Arabidopsis thaliana: one gene and its partners. The protein of the gene in region 1 interacts with the protein of each later gene in a pairwise test. Each region holds a gene or a part of one and is shown in the gene's direction. Other genes may lie near its edges.

Region 1 (6,157 bases):
CTTTATTTTGAAGTGCCTAGAACACTAGTCTTCTTCTTTTCATGGTTACGAAAATGTTTACAGAAAATCATGGATGATTCAAGAAAATAGACCACTTTTTGAGATACTTTTCCGTAAACCCTAAGTATATCCATAATATCTCTACATTGACCAATGACAAATAGTAGTTTAGATATTGATGGACTTATGGGAGCTAGTTTTTATTATTAACTAGATTTTAACCCGCGGTATACCGCGGGACGATTTATTTTTAAAAGTAATATATATTAAAACTTGCAAATTTTATTTTTACAAAATATTTATATTTTACAGTTTATAATTGTTATTAAGTAACGCTATACCACGAATTCATGAGACAATTGTTAAAAAAACTGAAGTTTTGACCCCTATTAAAACAGCATATTAATAATATTTTAAAATTTTATAAATATTGATTCAAATACATCCACCATATAACCCAATTCCAAAATAAAACACGTTCTGTAATTTCTTTACCCGTCCCATGATTATTTTTTTAAGTAGTAATTTTTAAAATTTTAGAATTATTTTTATATATAAAAGTTTTGCAAATTGTATCATTCTCTAATACATTTATATTTTATAGTTTAAATTAAATTAATTAAAATTTAGATATCAAATCTTATAAGTTGATTTTGATTGGCTATTATTTTTAAAAATTAATAATGTATTTCGTTTTTAATTAATTAAATTAATTAAATTAGTATTTGACTTTTTAATCCTTAAAGAGATAAATTAATTTACTCTTTAAAATTTTATTTCTAATGGCATACCTATGTAATTACTTACAAAAATTAAGGTTACATTTAAAATGTACTTCCCAAATAATATAGTAGGATAAATTGTTTTATCTATGATTTATGAATATCCACATCAGTTCTGTAAAAAATAAAACTAAAAGAAAAACCAAGGAGAAAACAAATCGCCTTGTAAAAAACCGTTTTTGATAAATGTAACATTTAGGTTTTGTGTTAGTTAAGATCCGAAACAAGACAAATCTTATACACGCCATAATCCAGTATGTCGAAATCTACACCGTATTAATTATTGCTACTATGAACAACCATTCTATCCGATCATAGACTTTACTCTTATTTGTCGTTATTATCATAAAATGTCGTTTAAATAAATTATTTGTAGGATACCAATTCTTTAATTATATTAGTTCAAACACGTATAATTTTGGTGGTTTTTGAGGATGAATATCATCAAAGATAAATGCATTTTGGTGAAATAAATAATCAAATAATTATTTTAAATTATCTTTATGCACCACTATTTTTAATAAATTGGACTCTTACAACGTTTTCCTTAAAAAAAATCATGGATCTTAAAACTTATACCCAAACAAATATGTAGAAAATTATTATTATATATATAAATATATATATATATATATAAGCTATACAAAATCTTATTATATAGTAGTAGCGCTTGATTCTAAAATAGCATAATTAGACGAAAAAGCATGCATTTTGTAACATTTTATACTTTGTAAGTAAAACACATAAAAAATAATTTTATGAATAAGAAATCCACATAAAAAAAAAAAGAAGTAACATACTGTGAAAAATTAGGAAACTTTTTGAGGCACCAATTTTTTATGCCACTTTCAAAAAAGCATTAATGAAAATTTGTTTAAAATATCATTTTAAAATTTGACGTACAAAAGTACAAAACCTCATACAATTTCAAAACTTTACAAAGACTCAATAACATGTGTTATAGAGACTTTATAAACTTTCTTATAACATACTCTATAATTTTTTATATCCATATATTTGTGATATTTTTGAAAATGGATAAAATAAATTTGATATTTTTATAAATAGAAAATATTAATGGTATTTTTGAATTTTTCCCAAAATAATTATTAGTCTTATACTCCAAAATGTAAAAAAAAATCACTTTTTATTAAAAAAATACTTACGCATTTGCTTAATTGCTAGTCGTCAAAGTTTTGTCATTTTATGCAAATACTAAAAAAATGTAGAAAGCATTTCCTCTTTATTTTTGGGACAACCAAGAAAGGAGCATTTCAATAGTGTATACATAGACAAAAATATTTCTCATTTCCTATATTTGACTCTTTAAATCTTTAATAGCTCTTGTAATTTTTTCCATTCATTGTAATACAGCCATAATGTTTAAAAGGAAACTGTCAATTATAAACTTATACTAGAATATAAAATATGGTATTGAATTGAATATTTTCAAAAATAAAATATTAAATTTACGAAAAGAATAAAAAAACTTAAAAATCTCTCTCTCCTATCTCTCAACCACAACTTATTTTTCATGTCAGTATCCACCAACACATATATACGGCATATAAAAGATTTTAATAAAACCTTGGAACTATCTATATCTATTCAGACACACACGTCTATATATATATATACACTCATATACTACTTTCACTGTATCATTCTTGTTTTCTCTAAATTTTTCAAAAAACCTTTAGAATTTTCATTTTTTTACGATTCCGATGTTAACTGTTTCTCCGGCTCCAGTACTCATCGGAAACAACTCAAAGGATACTTACATGGCGGCAGATTTCGCAGATTTTACGACGGAAGACTTGCCGGACTTTACGACGGTCGGGGATTTTTCCGATGATCTTCTTGATGGAATCGATTACTACGACGATCTTTTCATTGGTTTCGATGGAGACGATGTTTTGCCGGATTTGGAGATAGATTCGGAGATTCTTGGGGAATATTCCGGTAGCGGAAGAGATGAGGAACAAGAAATGGAGGGTAACACTTCGACGGCATCGGAGACATCGGAGAGAGACGTTGGTGTGTGTAAGCAAGAGGGTGGTGGTGGTGGTGACGGTGGTTTTAGGGACAAAACGGTGCGTCGAGGCAAACGTAAAGGGAAGAAAAGTAAAGATTGTTTATCCGATGAGAACGATATTAAGAAAAAACCTAAGGTGTGTTTATTTCCCAATTATCCATGTTAGATTAGTTTATTTTTTTTCTTCTTTAAAGGTAAAAAATCCCATTAAGAAATCACCAACCTTTTTAAGGATTTCATTAAAAAAACATAAACTTCTAGTGTTTCTGAATATTTTTTTTACAAAGTTAGTGAATTAGTGTATTTATCATATACACAATTATTATTAAGTTTGATAACTGGAGTAGATCTAGGACCAAAACCAAGTTTTGTGTAGTAGGACTATACAAATTTGTGTGTTTATTTGGACTAAATATTTTTTTTTATAAAACTGTAAGACAATTTTCTATAAAAAAAATGAATTCCTTTTTTTTCTTTTCATTTATTGATTAATTAATATATTGTTCCGGCAAATCAGGTGGATTGGACGCCGGAGTTACACCGGAAATTTGTACAAGCGGTGGAGCAATTAGGGGTAGACAAGGCGGTGCCGTCTCGAATCTTGGAAATTATGAACGTTAAATCTCTCACTCGTCACAACGTTGCTAGCCATCTTCAGGTAAATTTTAGACTAAAACTATACAAACTAATTTTAACAGGAATTAATCAAGTGCTATAACCCCTAACATAGTAATTACCTAATTTATAGATTACATGTTTTTCCTTCAAAATTTTTTATGAAAAGACAAGTAAAATACTAACCAACTCAGATTTGTGTAATAAGATTAATTTGTGTTGTGTTCTTCTTGTAATGATAGAAATATAGGTCACATCGGAAACATCTACTAGCGCGTGAAGCAGAAGCTGCCAGCTGGAATCTCCGGAGACATGCCACGGTGGCAGTGCCCGGAGTAGGAGGAGGAGGGAAGAAGCCGTGGACAGCTCCTGCCTTAGGCTATCCTCCACACGTGGCACCAATGCATCATGGTCACTTCAGGCCTTTGCACGTATGGGGTCATCCTACGTGGCCAAAACACAAGCCTAATACTCCGGCGTCTGCTCATCGGACGTATCCAATGCCGGCCATTGCGGCGGCTCCGGCATCTTGGCCAGGTCATCCACCGTACTGGCATCAGCAACCACTCTATCCACAGGTAATAATAATTCATTTGTAAAAATGTTACATGTTTTTCCATTATTAGTTGTATGGTTAAATCATGAAAAATAATCGAAATGACATAACTAAATCAGCTTTGTTGAACAATCATGACACTGCAAAAAGCTAGTCTTTGTACACTATTGGCTTTTTAACACATGCAACATATATAAGTATAAAACGGAATCATTGAATTAGATTGTGGTTTTGTCTAACAACGCAATTAGTAAAAGATTGCAAGATCATGAATCATTTTTATGTAGACAACTAATAAAGATTTAGAGCTATGAATTATGTATGGATTTTACAAAAACATATTTCTAATCATGGTTTATGTGTATATATGTGTAGGGATATGGTATGGCATCATCGAATCATTCAAGCATCGGTGTTCCCACAAGACAATTAGGACCCACTAATCCTCCCATCGACATTCATCCCGTGAGTGCACCTTTTTTGGTTTCAATTTTGTTTATTAGATTTTGATTATGACATAACCCAAAAAAGTTTTCGAATAAATTTTGGATAATTAACAATATTTCATTACTTGACGGTTGCAGTCGAATGAGAGCATAGATGCAGCTATTGGGGACGTTATATCAAAGCCGTGGCTGCCGCTTCCTTTGGGACTGAAACCGCCGTCGGTTGACGGTGTTATGACGGAGTTACAACGTCAAGGAGTTTCTAATGTTCCTCCTCTTCCTTGAGAAAGATCTCCAAAATTTGTCGAAATCTCAAACTTTTAACTTCATTTTTTTGGTATCTTCTATGTATTTTTGCAAGGGAAAGACGATAAATCCTTGTTGCTTGATCATATGTATTTCTCTATATGAGTGCATGTATCGAAGTTAAGCAACTTTAATATATCGTTATAATCTTCGATAGCAGAATCTGTAATTTTTATTAACTTTCAACTCCCGAAGCATCATTGCAAAATGACTAAATGCAACACTTTTTGGGGTTAAAAATGCTTAACATTTTAAAACATTACTATCATTTATTCAATCAACAATTTATAGTTTTATACAATTGAAAACTAGACGGGATATATATCGCATGTGTTTTTTCAATGGCTTATTTTGTTTTATAATGCCAACTTTCACAGCTATGGATTGTGACTATTTATAATTTCAAAGAAGTCAAATATTTTTAAAACTCAATTAAAGTCCATAAAAAAATTTGCAATTGATAATGTTAACATATCGTGGCAAAAAAAAAAAAAAAGTACAACACATAATTGGAGTTTAGATATACGAATATTCTTTTAATTGGTTCCATGTAAAAAACTTAATTCAAACGGATTCGATTGGTGACACAAAATGGTAAAAACAAAAAAGCGGAAAAAGTTTTAAAAATACTAGAATAGTTGAAAGAAGTAAAAAAAATACAGGTACAAAAAATACAATAGTACAAAAAAATACTAGAATAGTTGTAGATATACTTTTGTGTTTAGTAAACTATTAAAGCATTAAATATTGTACCATGCGATAGAGATTACCAATCAAAAGCCAAAGTGATGATGCAGAATAAGTTAATAACAATTACTTTGGGGTAAGAAGTTTAAATTACTCTTGAATGTAGAAGGCATGAAAGTGGCATGTTTGATGGATTGTGTTTGTCGAGCATTGTGCAGACGCAGCTCAATAACGTTAATTTATATACATTCAACTCTTGAAAGACATTGAAGCTGTATCTTTGGCTTTGACACACTAGCAGCTCTCGATGGAGTTATGCGTGATCTAGTTAGTTACTATATCTCATTCTCCATCAGATAAATGTAAGTTCGTATAATACTTTTTCGGAAGCTTCTAATGCATAAAGGAGCTGTATTTGGACAAATACTTTGAGAAATGTAAGAAGCGTACAATGTGATGAGAAAGAATGATACAAAGTGATTAGTGAGTACTATGGAGGGCCTTCACTCGGCTACTTTAGCCCAATAGACTAGTAATGACATATCAGTTGATCAAGGAGCAAAAGTTAATGAGGACACTGATATTGAACGAAACCACTTAAGAAAGGTTGTAATGAAAATCTAGAAAACCCAAACTGAGTTCAGACTCATCAATCTAAAGATTACATTGACCATTCAGCAACATTGACAACTTCTAAAGTTTTGTTTTAAGATCTTCTCTTCCGATCATC
Region 2 (4,525 bases), on another chromosome or scaffold:
CTAGAAACATACTACAATTCAAGCCTTCCACACATGATTCAAGCTCTTCAAGCCAAACTCAAGGTACAATCTTGCCTTCTCTAATCAGCTTCAGCAAGTTATAGCCGTATCCAAGATAAACACAACTTACATTGAGTGTTTGTTGTTACGTCTGTCTTAATATAGAACGGCTGGTCGAATGATGTTCCGTCGTGGAAGTCATGTCACTTTCACCAAAAGGCCTGTCCAAATCTGTAAGCAAGCATCTATATATCTGTTAAGTTGCTTAATAGCAGAGAAAACTTAGTTTTCGTTACCATATCATTGTTGATTCTCTTTGTTCTTTGATGTGTTAAAGGTATGCTTCTGAAAGCATTGATCTCGCCTGCAAGTATGCTTACAGGAACGCTACTCCGGGGACTACTTTAGGAGGTATACTTACTCTATGAAACCAGATCGTGGCTTTTTGTTTTCTTTAATCATGGACATGACTTGATCTTCTGCTTTCTCTGCAGATGAGTATTTCCTTTCTCGGTTACCCGTTGTAGAGAAGAGACTTGCACAAGGTGGGATTCGCTTGGCAGCTACTCTTAATCGTATCTTTTCTGCAAAACCGAAGCTCGCAGGATTATGAATCTAAGAAAAAGATCCTTGAGAACCCACGTAACAACTCCTTTTAAGTGTTTTTTATAACACTGTGAATGGTTGAGTCATGACTAATGAGTGAACCTCCAAAATCTTCATGCAAAAATTTGTTATTTTGGGACATGGTTCAAACTTCCAATAACAAACCACACTAACGGATAACACTTTGCATTTTTTTTGTTTGTTTTCAGTTTTGTTAATTAGTATCCTTCTTCTTATCTTATGAAAAAGGTAAGTTAACATAAAGGAGTAAAATAGAAAAAGAAGTTAGATTTCCTCATTAGATTAGGAATGATAATTCGCTATATAAAGATTTCAAGTGAGACATAAAAAGCCTAAGCGCAAAACACACAAAAAAGAGTTTCTTACGTGAAAAGCTACTTAAACCCTAAAAGAGAGAGAGAAAAAAAAAGCAAAGCCGACACAGCTAGCGCTCTCGGGTGCACTTCCACAGCAATGAACGGAGAAGAGCCACCTTTTAAAAGAAGACGGATGAATTTTCTTATGCTTCCTGATGATTTGGTTTTAAACTGTTTAATTTGGCCCGCATCTCAAGATAGTACTATCCAACTCTCTCTTTAGTATCCAAGAGATTCCGCTCTATCCTTACTTCAACGGAGCTTTACCAGACCCAAACTCTCTTAGGCCGCACCGAGAGTTGTTTGTACGTGTGCTTAACGCAGATTACATATGACGCTTCTAACCCACAATTAATTTGGTTCACTCTTTGCCGCAAACCAAATAGCTCAAAAAAGATTTTAATCCCAATTTCATATCCTAAATCTGCATCATGGTCGGATAGTGTAGTGGCTGTTGGTCCTAATATCTACGCTATTGGGGGATTCAGTAATAATAGAACTAAACCTTCGTCTAGCGTCATGGTCATGGATTGTCGTACTCACACATGGTGTGAGGCCCCTAGCATGCAGGTTTCCCGTGTGTTCCAATCTACTTGCGTCCTTGATGGGAAAATATATGTAACAGGAGGCCGCGGAACTCTCGATTCAACGAAATGGATGGAGGTTTTTGATACGAAAACCCAAACTTGGGAGTTTTTGCAATTCCCGAGTGAGGAGAAGATATGCACAGGCTATAAGTGTGAGAGCATAGTGTATGAAGGAACTGTCTATGTAAGGTCGTATTTTCATAATGTGACTTACAAGCTGCATAAAGGTAGATGGATAGCGGCAGACTTAGCGATGAATAATGGATGGCGTTGCTCATCATTTTTTTGTGTGATAAAGAACGTGTTCTACTGTTGCAATAGAAGTGGTAACGGTATGATCGATTGGTATGACTCGGAAAAAGGATCATGGACAACTATGAAGGGGTTGGAAAGATTGCCTAAAGTTTATGGTAATGTTAAATTGGCATATTATGGTGGAAAAATGGTGGTGGTGTACGTGGAGTGCTAAGGAGTGGGGTAACGTGAGAAAAATTTGGTGTGCGGAAATTACGATTGAAAAACGCAAGGATGGAGAGATTTGGGGGATACTAGAATGGTTTGACGATGTATATAAAGCCAAGGATGAGCTAGAATATTTAGCTGTAGTGCATGCTGTTGTTACTACCATCTGATTGATAAGAGAGTCATGTGAACATTGTTCATTGATTCACCGATGCAATAACGAATTTATCTACTATCATTTGTTTTGATTTTCTTTCTAAATCTTTTTTGTTTGTTCTTGTATTGAATTTTACCTTACATTTATTAAGAAAGTCAACTATTTGTCAACGTTACTGGAAAGTTAAAAAGGTAAAAGTAATAATAATCTGAGAGTTAACTTTGGACATCTTCGCCGGAGCCGAGACGGAAGGCGTGATGGAAGAGATACAACAACAAACGCAGAAGGAAGAACAAAAGCACCGTGAAGAAGAAGAGGAGGAAGAGGAAGGTCCGCCTCCGGGATGGGAATCTGCAGTTCTTCCTCCTCCAATCGTCACCATCACCGCCGCCGTAAACCCCAATCCCACCACCGTAGAAATTCCCGGTATTCTTGTAGTCTTGTCTATTTTAGGGTTTATCGATTTGCTTCCATTTCTTGCTACAGTCTGATCAAATTAGAGATTTTTAGTGGAGTTTGTAGACTTTTAGAGATAACCCATTTTCGATTCCGAGAATTGATTAGTGTTTTTTTTCTGCAAATCTTCTTTGTTTTTGGGGTTGTTGCAGAAAAGGCCCAAATGGTATGTGGATCTTGCAGGCGTTTGCTTTCTTATCTAAGAGGATCCAAACATGTTAAGTGCTCCTCTTGTCAGACTGTTAATCTCGTTCTTGAAGGTTCGTTCTTCCATGGCTTTTTTATCTCTTATTCATTACTTGAAAAGCTTTTGTTGATAATCTCAGTCACTTGAAACTCTTAATGGAACAATCTTGGAATGCTCTCTCAGTCTAGTTTTACTTAGCATGTGTGAATGATATATCTATGTTCTTTTGAGAATCTCAAAATGTAAGCTTCCTGAGACCAAATGAGTTTAGTTCTTAACTGACACAAGAATGATCTTTGGTTAGGATTCTTCTCTTAAGCTTTTGTGAGCCTTTTGGTCTCTACTCCATCATAATGTCTCCTTTGTAGACCATTTATGTGGTCTTTATCCTTTACTCTTACTACTCTTGGGGAAATTGTGTGATCTTAAGACCAAGATTGTTCTTCTTAGCTTGTGAATCACTTGGCCTCATTATTGATGAAATAGCCTTCTTCTCTTATCGGTTCTGGACTTGTCGTTCTTTGTTTGCAGCTAACCAGGTTGGTCAGGTGAATTGCAACAATTGCAAACTGCTACTGATGTATCCTTATGGAGCTCCAGCTGTTAGATGTTCCTCCTGCAATTCTGTCACAGATATCAGTGTATGTATTCACAGATGGTTTTGTGCTCCATGTCCAAATCATACTTGGAAGAGTTGATACATTTTGAGATCCGAGTAAGTAATCATCTGATGAATCATTTATAATAAACTGTGTTATATTTCAGGAAAACAACAAACGACCTCCATGGTCTGAGCAGCAAGGACCACTCAAAAGTTTAAGCAGTCTCAGGAGAGCAGAGAATTAAACTTGAACCGATTTTTGTCAATTTTGAACCGGTTTGACGACTAAAAACCTTGTAATAATGTCGAAGGATAGATGAAATAAAATCACCATTAATAATCTCATTGAATTCCCATTCTTTCAGATATTACTTGCTCATCATCCTTTACTGTTTTAAGCTTTAGTGGTTAAAAAGAATGTGTATATATCCATACAAAAGTTGATATATGTACTGGACCAATATAAACAAACACAGCTCACAGTCTCACACAATACATAAAAACAAAATTCATATTTCACAGGTGAGAAAAACTAACTAGTAGTCTACTTGGCCGAATTTGTCAATGAATTTCAATAATTAGGTCGTATAAATAGCAAACAAAACATGGACTCTTACCCAACCAAATATGCATAAATAATTTACATTACAGTTTCATATAAAATACAAACTAATGGTGGGTCCTCGAGAGAGCTAACAAGAGCTGTGTGTGGGTGAAGAACCAACTTGTCAACGAAACCAATTTAATGGAAATCAACCCTAAATTTAATGAAACCTTGGACGAAACTTACATTTTGTTAACCAGTTTATCCTTTTAAATCAAACCTGCATAGATTTTGATTTAAGACTTGAAAGTCTTAAATGATATGGTTGGATTGAAATAATGAGTGGGCCTTATAGAACAGATTAAATTATGAACACCACAAGTTTCTTTTTTTGTGCGAGTAATAAAACAGTTGCTTAGAAATTTGTTGTGTTTATAAATAGACACTATTATTAACACACAAATTTTTGAATTTTTGGCAGATGGTTACAGAGAATACCAATTGTGGATTTCATCCAAACTTTAGGTAATTAATCCTTTATTTTTTTT
Region 3 (5,736 bases), on another chromosome or scaffold:
CAGTGAAAACTTTTGGTAGTCAAAATTTAGAAACTTTAAAGTGATACTCCACTAATGTTTTGACTCGTATCTCATACTATATAGTATATATTCTAACTTAACCAATAACCAACGACTCTCGTCTTCTTCTTTTTCTCCTATCTTTCTCTCACCTAACCTCGCAAAGAAAAAACCATCTTACTTTCTTTTTTTTTCTCTGAAAAACCTCTTTTGATTAGGTTTAAAGATGGCATCAAAAAAAGCAAGAAAACCAAACCGAGCCGAAAAGAAACTCACAAGAAGCTGTTTCAAGAAACAAGTTCCTCAACACAACAACATCAACACAAGTATAACTCTCGATCAAACATCTACATCTACTATTGTCTCTACATGTTCTTCTTCATCAACGACTTTGTCTTCTCCTCTAGACACAATCTACTCTGTTCCCTCTCCATCCCCAGCAGCGGTGCTGACGTCACCAGGCGGTTGTTGTACCCCGAAAGCCAAGAAGTCTAGGATACCGGAGATGCTGACGTGTCCACCGGCGCCGAAGAAGCAAAGGGTCTCGAAAAACTGTGTGTTACGACGGAGACAGATCGTTTTCTTTGCTCCGCCGGAGATAGAGCTCTTCTTCGTCAACGCACACGATCGATGAACGTACTTTTAGTTAATTATTAGTATCTTTTTTTTTTTTGATATAGGATCAATACAGAAAGTAGTATTAGCAGGTGATCAAAATTCATCTCTTTGATTTGTTAATACAATAACGAAGAGTAAATTATTATGTTTTGCGTAATGTTTTTTCTTATTTTGGTTTGTTTGTTTTTGTTATTATTTTTTTCATTATTTTGGCGCTTGTTTTTTGAGATGATTTGAATCAAGTCGGTTTGAGTTTTTGTGGTAGGGTATATCAAAAATCAACTATGATTTACACTATCAATTGATAACCCACCCTTTTATTATTTTATATTTTCTTGCTTCACTTTTTTCTAAGTGCTATGTATTAGGTTGATGACTTTAATTTCTAGCCTACTTAGCTTCGTCAGTTATTGTAACTTTGATGTGGATTGAGTTTTTTTTTTGTTCACCTGATGTTTTGTTCTTCCTCGCTACTTTGTTCATTACCTTTGATCGTTTGTTCATATACCTCGTTCAATTGACAGTTGATAGTAAAAAATTAAGTAATCTGAACTGAAGTAGTATATCTTAGCTAGTCGTTTTTATTTAGAAGTTTTTGATCTTACACATGTATACGATTTTTAAAAGTAAAACTATCAGAGAGAGATTATACAATATTATTTGATTGAGAAACAGTCACCTTTTACGTGGAACTTCGTAATGAGTTTAGGTCCAATAACATTAACACCGCATAGAAACTAGCATAAATTAAGTTTACTAAGTCAATCTTCAGATACTTTATAATATAAAAATAAATTTTATATGATATGTATGTATGCACACATTTCTAATTAAATCATAGAAACCTTTCCTATATCACTAAAAATATTCGAGAAAAAGTAGTTTCTGATATGCCCATTTTTTAATTAATGGTGTATGTTAATGGGCGTTGATAATCAAATCCCACCAAGAGTACTGATTAGGTCAATTTGTTTTTCAAAATCTAGTTTCAAATATTTTAACTTAAGCTTTTTTTTTCATCTTTATATAATATCATATTTAGTAATATTAATTTTCTACATTTTCTTCCTTAATTAAAATCATATTTTAAATCCACTTCTTTTAACTTCAAACATTCCAATTAGTGTTCACTAACTATAGGAATATGAAGATAATGTTATAAAATTAGTGAAAGGAAAGAGACGAGAAATATGAGAAGAGTTAGTGGGGATGGCCGCAGTGTCGAGGCAGAGGATAACATCCGCCAAGGGAATCCAATGAAGCTACTCATGCGGCTTTTCTTATCATTTTCTCTCTCTCTCTCTCTCTCTTTTTTTCACAAAAATTAAAAACACATATTAATCACATCATCGATAATACAGAATTGATTATTCTTTTTTCAACAGAATAAAGAAATGATTCTTAACTATCTATACAAGGGTCAAAGCAATCAAAAGTGTACATGAAGAAGCTCTAGTTATACTAGAAATGTACAAAACAAAACTCAATTAAGCAAACAAGGAATTAGAAGCCAATATGCCCAAATAATCATATTTTTTTAAAGCTAATTGATTTGCTTAAGAAAGGACAATAAATATTTTGAACAAAAAAACAAGAAATGGATAAGAAAGATTTGACAGAAAGAACAAGAAAACACTATGATTGTGATTTTAATTGATTAAACCCGTACAATAGTATCTCAATTCTATATAAAAAAAAGTTTTCAATCACATAATTTTATAAAATTGTGATTTATGTTGAATAATTAGCCATTTCAATGATTTTCTTTAAAAAAATATTTCTATTTCTCTAGTTACATTATACTTTATCACTTTACTCTGCCTATATGTATTATTATTTTTACAATCTTTTTCATTTCTTCAGTACTACTAGCAATCATGCAAGTACTAAAGAGCTGAAAAGCTAAAAATATATAAAACCAAATTAAAGATGTTGAAGAAAGAAAAAAAAGAGGGTAAGCTATTGGGCCTTTATAAGATAGAAGCTTTAATACCCATTATAGGCCCAGGTAAATTAATTACACATACACTCGAATTTTAATATCTACTAAAAAAAAGTTATATGTTGCCGCCGTTCACGTGGACAGCACGTGGCAGCTAAAATTCAAAACGGAACAAAAAATACTTCTTACGACGACGATCAAATACAACAACAACAAAATAATATAATAAAATTCAATTCCATAAATATTTTTTTTTTTGTTCTTTCCTCTGACTGGAAAAAGCTTCCTCAGATCGTTTCATCGTCCAAGCGGAAGAAGCGTCTCCTTCAATCACCGTGGACACCTCCGAGACTGTCTCCGATTGAATGGTATCTCGAAATTTCAGTCATTTATGATTGCATGAACCTGCTTATACCTTTGTTCTAGGGTTTTTGTTGTCTTGTTCCCATCTCTCAATTTTTTTTTTTCAAAGTTGCAAAATTCAAGTTTCGACTTTTTGTTAATTCTGTCTTCTTACGTTTCTGGGTTTTGATTGTTTCTTGTTACTGAAATCCTTTCGTGGAGTATTAAGAGTCAAAATTGCTGAATTTTATTGAAATTCTGTTGTTTTGTGTTGGATGTTTTTGGTCTTGTTTCGATAGAATTGGATTATGTAGTTGTAGATTCATCACTAAATATCGGATTTTGAATAGGGAATTGAAGACATGCATTCAAAATCTGACAGTGGTGGGAACAAGGTTGATTCAGAGGTTCATGGTACAGTATCGTCGTCGATAAATAGTTTAAACCCTTGGCATCGTGCTGCTGCTGCTTGCAATGCAAATTCTAGTGTGGAAGCTGGAGATAAATCTTCTAAGTCAATAGCATTAGCATTGGAATCAAACGGTTCCAAATCACCATCCAATAGAGATAATACTGTTAACAAGGAATCACAAGTCACAACGTCTCCACAATCAGGTGCATTACGCTTGCGGATTTGCTTACTGTTGTGTTTAATACTCTTAACCAAGTGTTGTTGGTTTATTTCGATATGCAGCTGGAGATTATAGTGATAAAAACCAAGAATCTCTGCATCATGGCATCACACAACCTCCTCCTCACCCTCAACTTGTTGGCCACACAGTTGTAACTTCCCAATATAGATATATTGTTCTTATCATTTCCTTTGGGAAAATTTTAGCTATGGTTGCTTACAATTTAGTTTTTTCCCGGTTATGAATCATGCAGGGATGGGCATCCTCAAATCCATACCAGGATCCATATTATGCAGGAGTGATGGGAGCCTATGGACATCATCCCCTGGTATATGACTATTTCCAAACTATTTACAAGTTTTCCTAAAGCCTCAACTGATTATCTCTGTTAAGACGATTTAACCATGTGACATGTCTACCATGATTCATGATTGCTATTGGGTTGCGAAACATGAGATTGCATGTTTAAATATTCTATTAGCTGTAGGTGCTTTGTGAAGTCTAGCATGATTATAATTGTCTAACAGTGTTCCTGATAGATAGATGAATTATGATTTATAGCAGCAGTTTATTGAAGATATTGAGAAGATGTATTTAGTTCACGACAGGAATTTTTAGGCTCTTCTTATCTATTTAGCATCTATGTGACTTTATAATAAATAACACATTTAACCTATCAGGGGTTTGTTCCATATGGTGGGATGCCTCATTCAAGAATGCCACTGCCGCCTGAGATGGCACAAGAACCAGTTTTCGTGAATGCTAAACAGTACCAGGCGATTCTGAGGCGAAGGCAGGCACGCGCCAAGGCAGAGCTAGAGAAGAAGCTAATAAAATCCAGAAAGGTGCATTGCGTGTTACCATGTATATTAGTTTCTTGAGAGGTCTGATCTAACTGTGAACGCATCACACTGCTTAATGCATCTCTTTCTTTGTTTGCATGGTCCACAGCCTTATCTACATGAATCTCGGCATCAACATGCTATGAGGAGGCCAAGGGGTACTGGAGGACGGTTTGCAAAGAAAACCAACACCGAAGCTTCAAAGCGTAAAGCTGAAGAAAAGAGCAATGGTCATGTTACTCAGTCCCCGTCATCATCTAATTCTGATCAAGGTGAAGCTTGGAATGGTGACTATAGAACACCTCAGGGAGATGAGATGCAGAGCTCAGCTTATAAGAGAAGGGAAGAAGGAGAGTGTTCAGGGCAGCAATGGAACAGCCTTTCCTCAAACCATCCTTCTCAAGCTCGTCTAGCCATTAAATGACCTCACAAGGCGGCAATTCATTCTTGGCTTTCTCTTTGTTGGCTTATTCGGTAGCAGCCATGAAAGAGTATTTTCTCTCGTTTTTTTTTCTTCTGATTTTGTACAAATACTTTTTGTAGCTTTTTGTGACTTTTTCCCTTTCAGTTTGGAATACTTCAGATGTTGCCACTTTTCTTTTTCAATTCTATCTTAACTAAACATTTCTTAGCTGGAATTGAAGTTTGGAATACAAAACTGTGATTGAGAGCTAAATTCCAGATTGTGTCAAAATGTAAAGGAGTAATGGAGTACCACAAAATCTTTCAAGACTTTCTTATAAAGAACTCACCTCGTCTTGGTCACTTAAGTTGACTTATTGTTACAATGAACTTTCGTTTCTATATTTTGGTTTTTTTATGTTTTAAGATCAGAGTCAGTCCAACCTTCAGCTTCCTCCTTGCCTTGCGTTTCGTCTAGGTCCTCGCCTTGAGTTTCATCTAGGTCGACCTCTTCAGTCTGGTCGGGACCTCCTGCTGAATCTGAGGAGTTGTTTGCCGCATCTGTGATGTTTACAGGTTGCTGATTCTCCATCAAACCAGAAAGTGCTAGCTTTGGTGACCACTCAAGGACATCATCAATGATGTTGGACATCCTTCTTTGGTACCTGTATGAACAAAACTCATCACAATTCAACCTCTACTGCACTAAATTCAAATGAGTAGAGTACAATTAGTTTAAGCGATATTTAAAGGTGGACGAGAAGGCAGTGTATACCTGGCCCGAGCAGCTTCATCAGGGGCATGACGCCTAAGCAGCATGACAACAACAATAGCCACTACTGTGTAGAAAAGTCGAGATGTCCACTTGGGCGGTTCTTCCTCGTCTTTCTTTGGCCAGAAACGGAACAGTTCCTTCAATGTGGCTTCCTCAGCTAGAATGTTGGGGAAGAACCAGACA

The links. Proteins that work in one complex are often made in the same cells at the same time.
Region 2: the proteins of GLK2 (region 1) and LOL2 interact in a two-hybrid assay, tested with the Arabidopsis thaliana proteins (one large-scale study listed by BioGRID).
Region 3: the proteins of GLK2 (region 1) and NF-YA9 interact in a two-hybrid assay, tested with the Arabidopsis thaliana proteins (one large-scale study listed by BioGRID).

What each region holds. Positions count from the first base shown.
Region 1 is NC_003076.8:17,795,929-17,802,085, forward strand, and holds GLK2 (GOLDEN2-like 2), read left to right. Parts: upstream 1-2,352; 5' UTR 2,353-2,506; coding exon 2,507-2,953; intron 2,954-3,334; coding exon 3,335-3,475; intron 3,476-3,674; coding exon 3,675-4,010; intron 4,011-4,363; coding exon 4,364-4,453; coding exon of another isoform or gene 4,454-4,498; exon of another isoform or gene 4,499-4,572; coding exon 4,573-4,719; 3' UTR 4,720-4,998; downstream 4,999-6,157. Other genes in the region: CBP20 (CAP-binding protein 20), read right to left, coding at 6,134-6,157.
Region 2 is NC_003075.7:11,486,623-11,491,147, forward strand, and holds LOL2 (lsd one like 2), read left to right. Parts: upstream 1-2,353; 5' UTR 2,354-2,446; coding exon 2,447-2,615; intron 2,616-2,797; coding exon 2,798-2,905; intron 2,906-3,363; coding exon 3,364-3,473; coding exon of another isoform or gene 3,474-3,530; exon of another isoform or gene 3,531-3,597; coding exon 3,598-3,678; 3' UTR 3,679-3,801; downstream 3,802-4,525. Other genes in the region: ENDO5 (endonuclease 5), read left to right, coding at 1-63, 166-233, 338-411, 495-613. UniProt on the Arabidopsis thaliana protein: Putative zinc finger that may be involved in programmed cell death and defense response.
Region 3 is NC_003074.8:7,323,570-7,329,305, forward strand, and holds NF-YA9 (nuclear factor Y, subunit A9), read left to right. Parts: upstream 1-2,785; 5' UTR 2,786-2,925; coding exon 2,926-2,928; intron 2,929-3,252; coding exon 3,253-3,517; intron 3,518-3,596; coding exon 3,597-3,685; intron 3,686-3,787; coding exon 3,788-3,862; intron 3,863-4,214; coding exon 4,215-4,379; intron 4,380-4,485; coding exon 4,486-4,800; 3' UTR 4,801-5,012; downstream 5,013-5,736. Other genes in the region: AT3G20898 (uncharacterized protein), read left to right, coding at 227-326, 408-634; AT3G20900 (uncharacterized protein), read right to left, coding at 415-587, 1,068-1,101; AT3G20920 (translocation protein-like protein), read right to left, coding at 5,194-5,443, 5,554-5,736.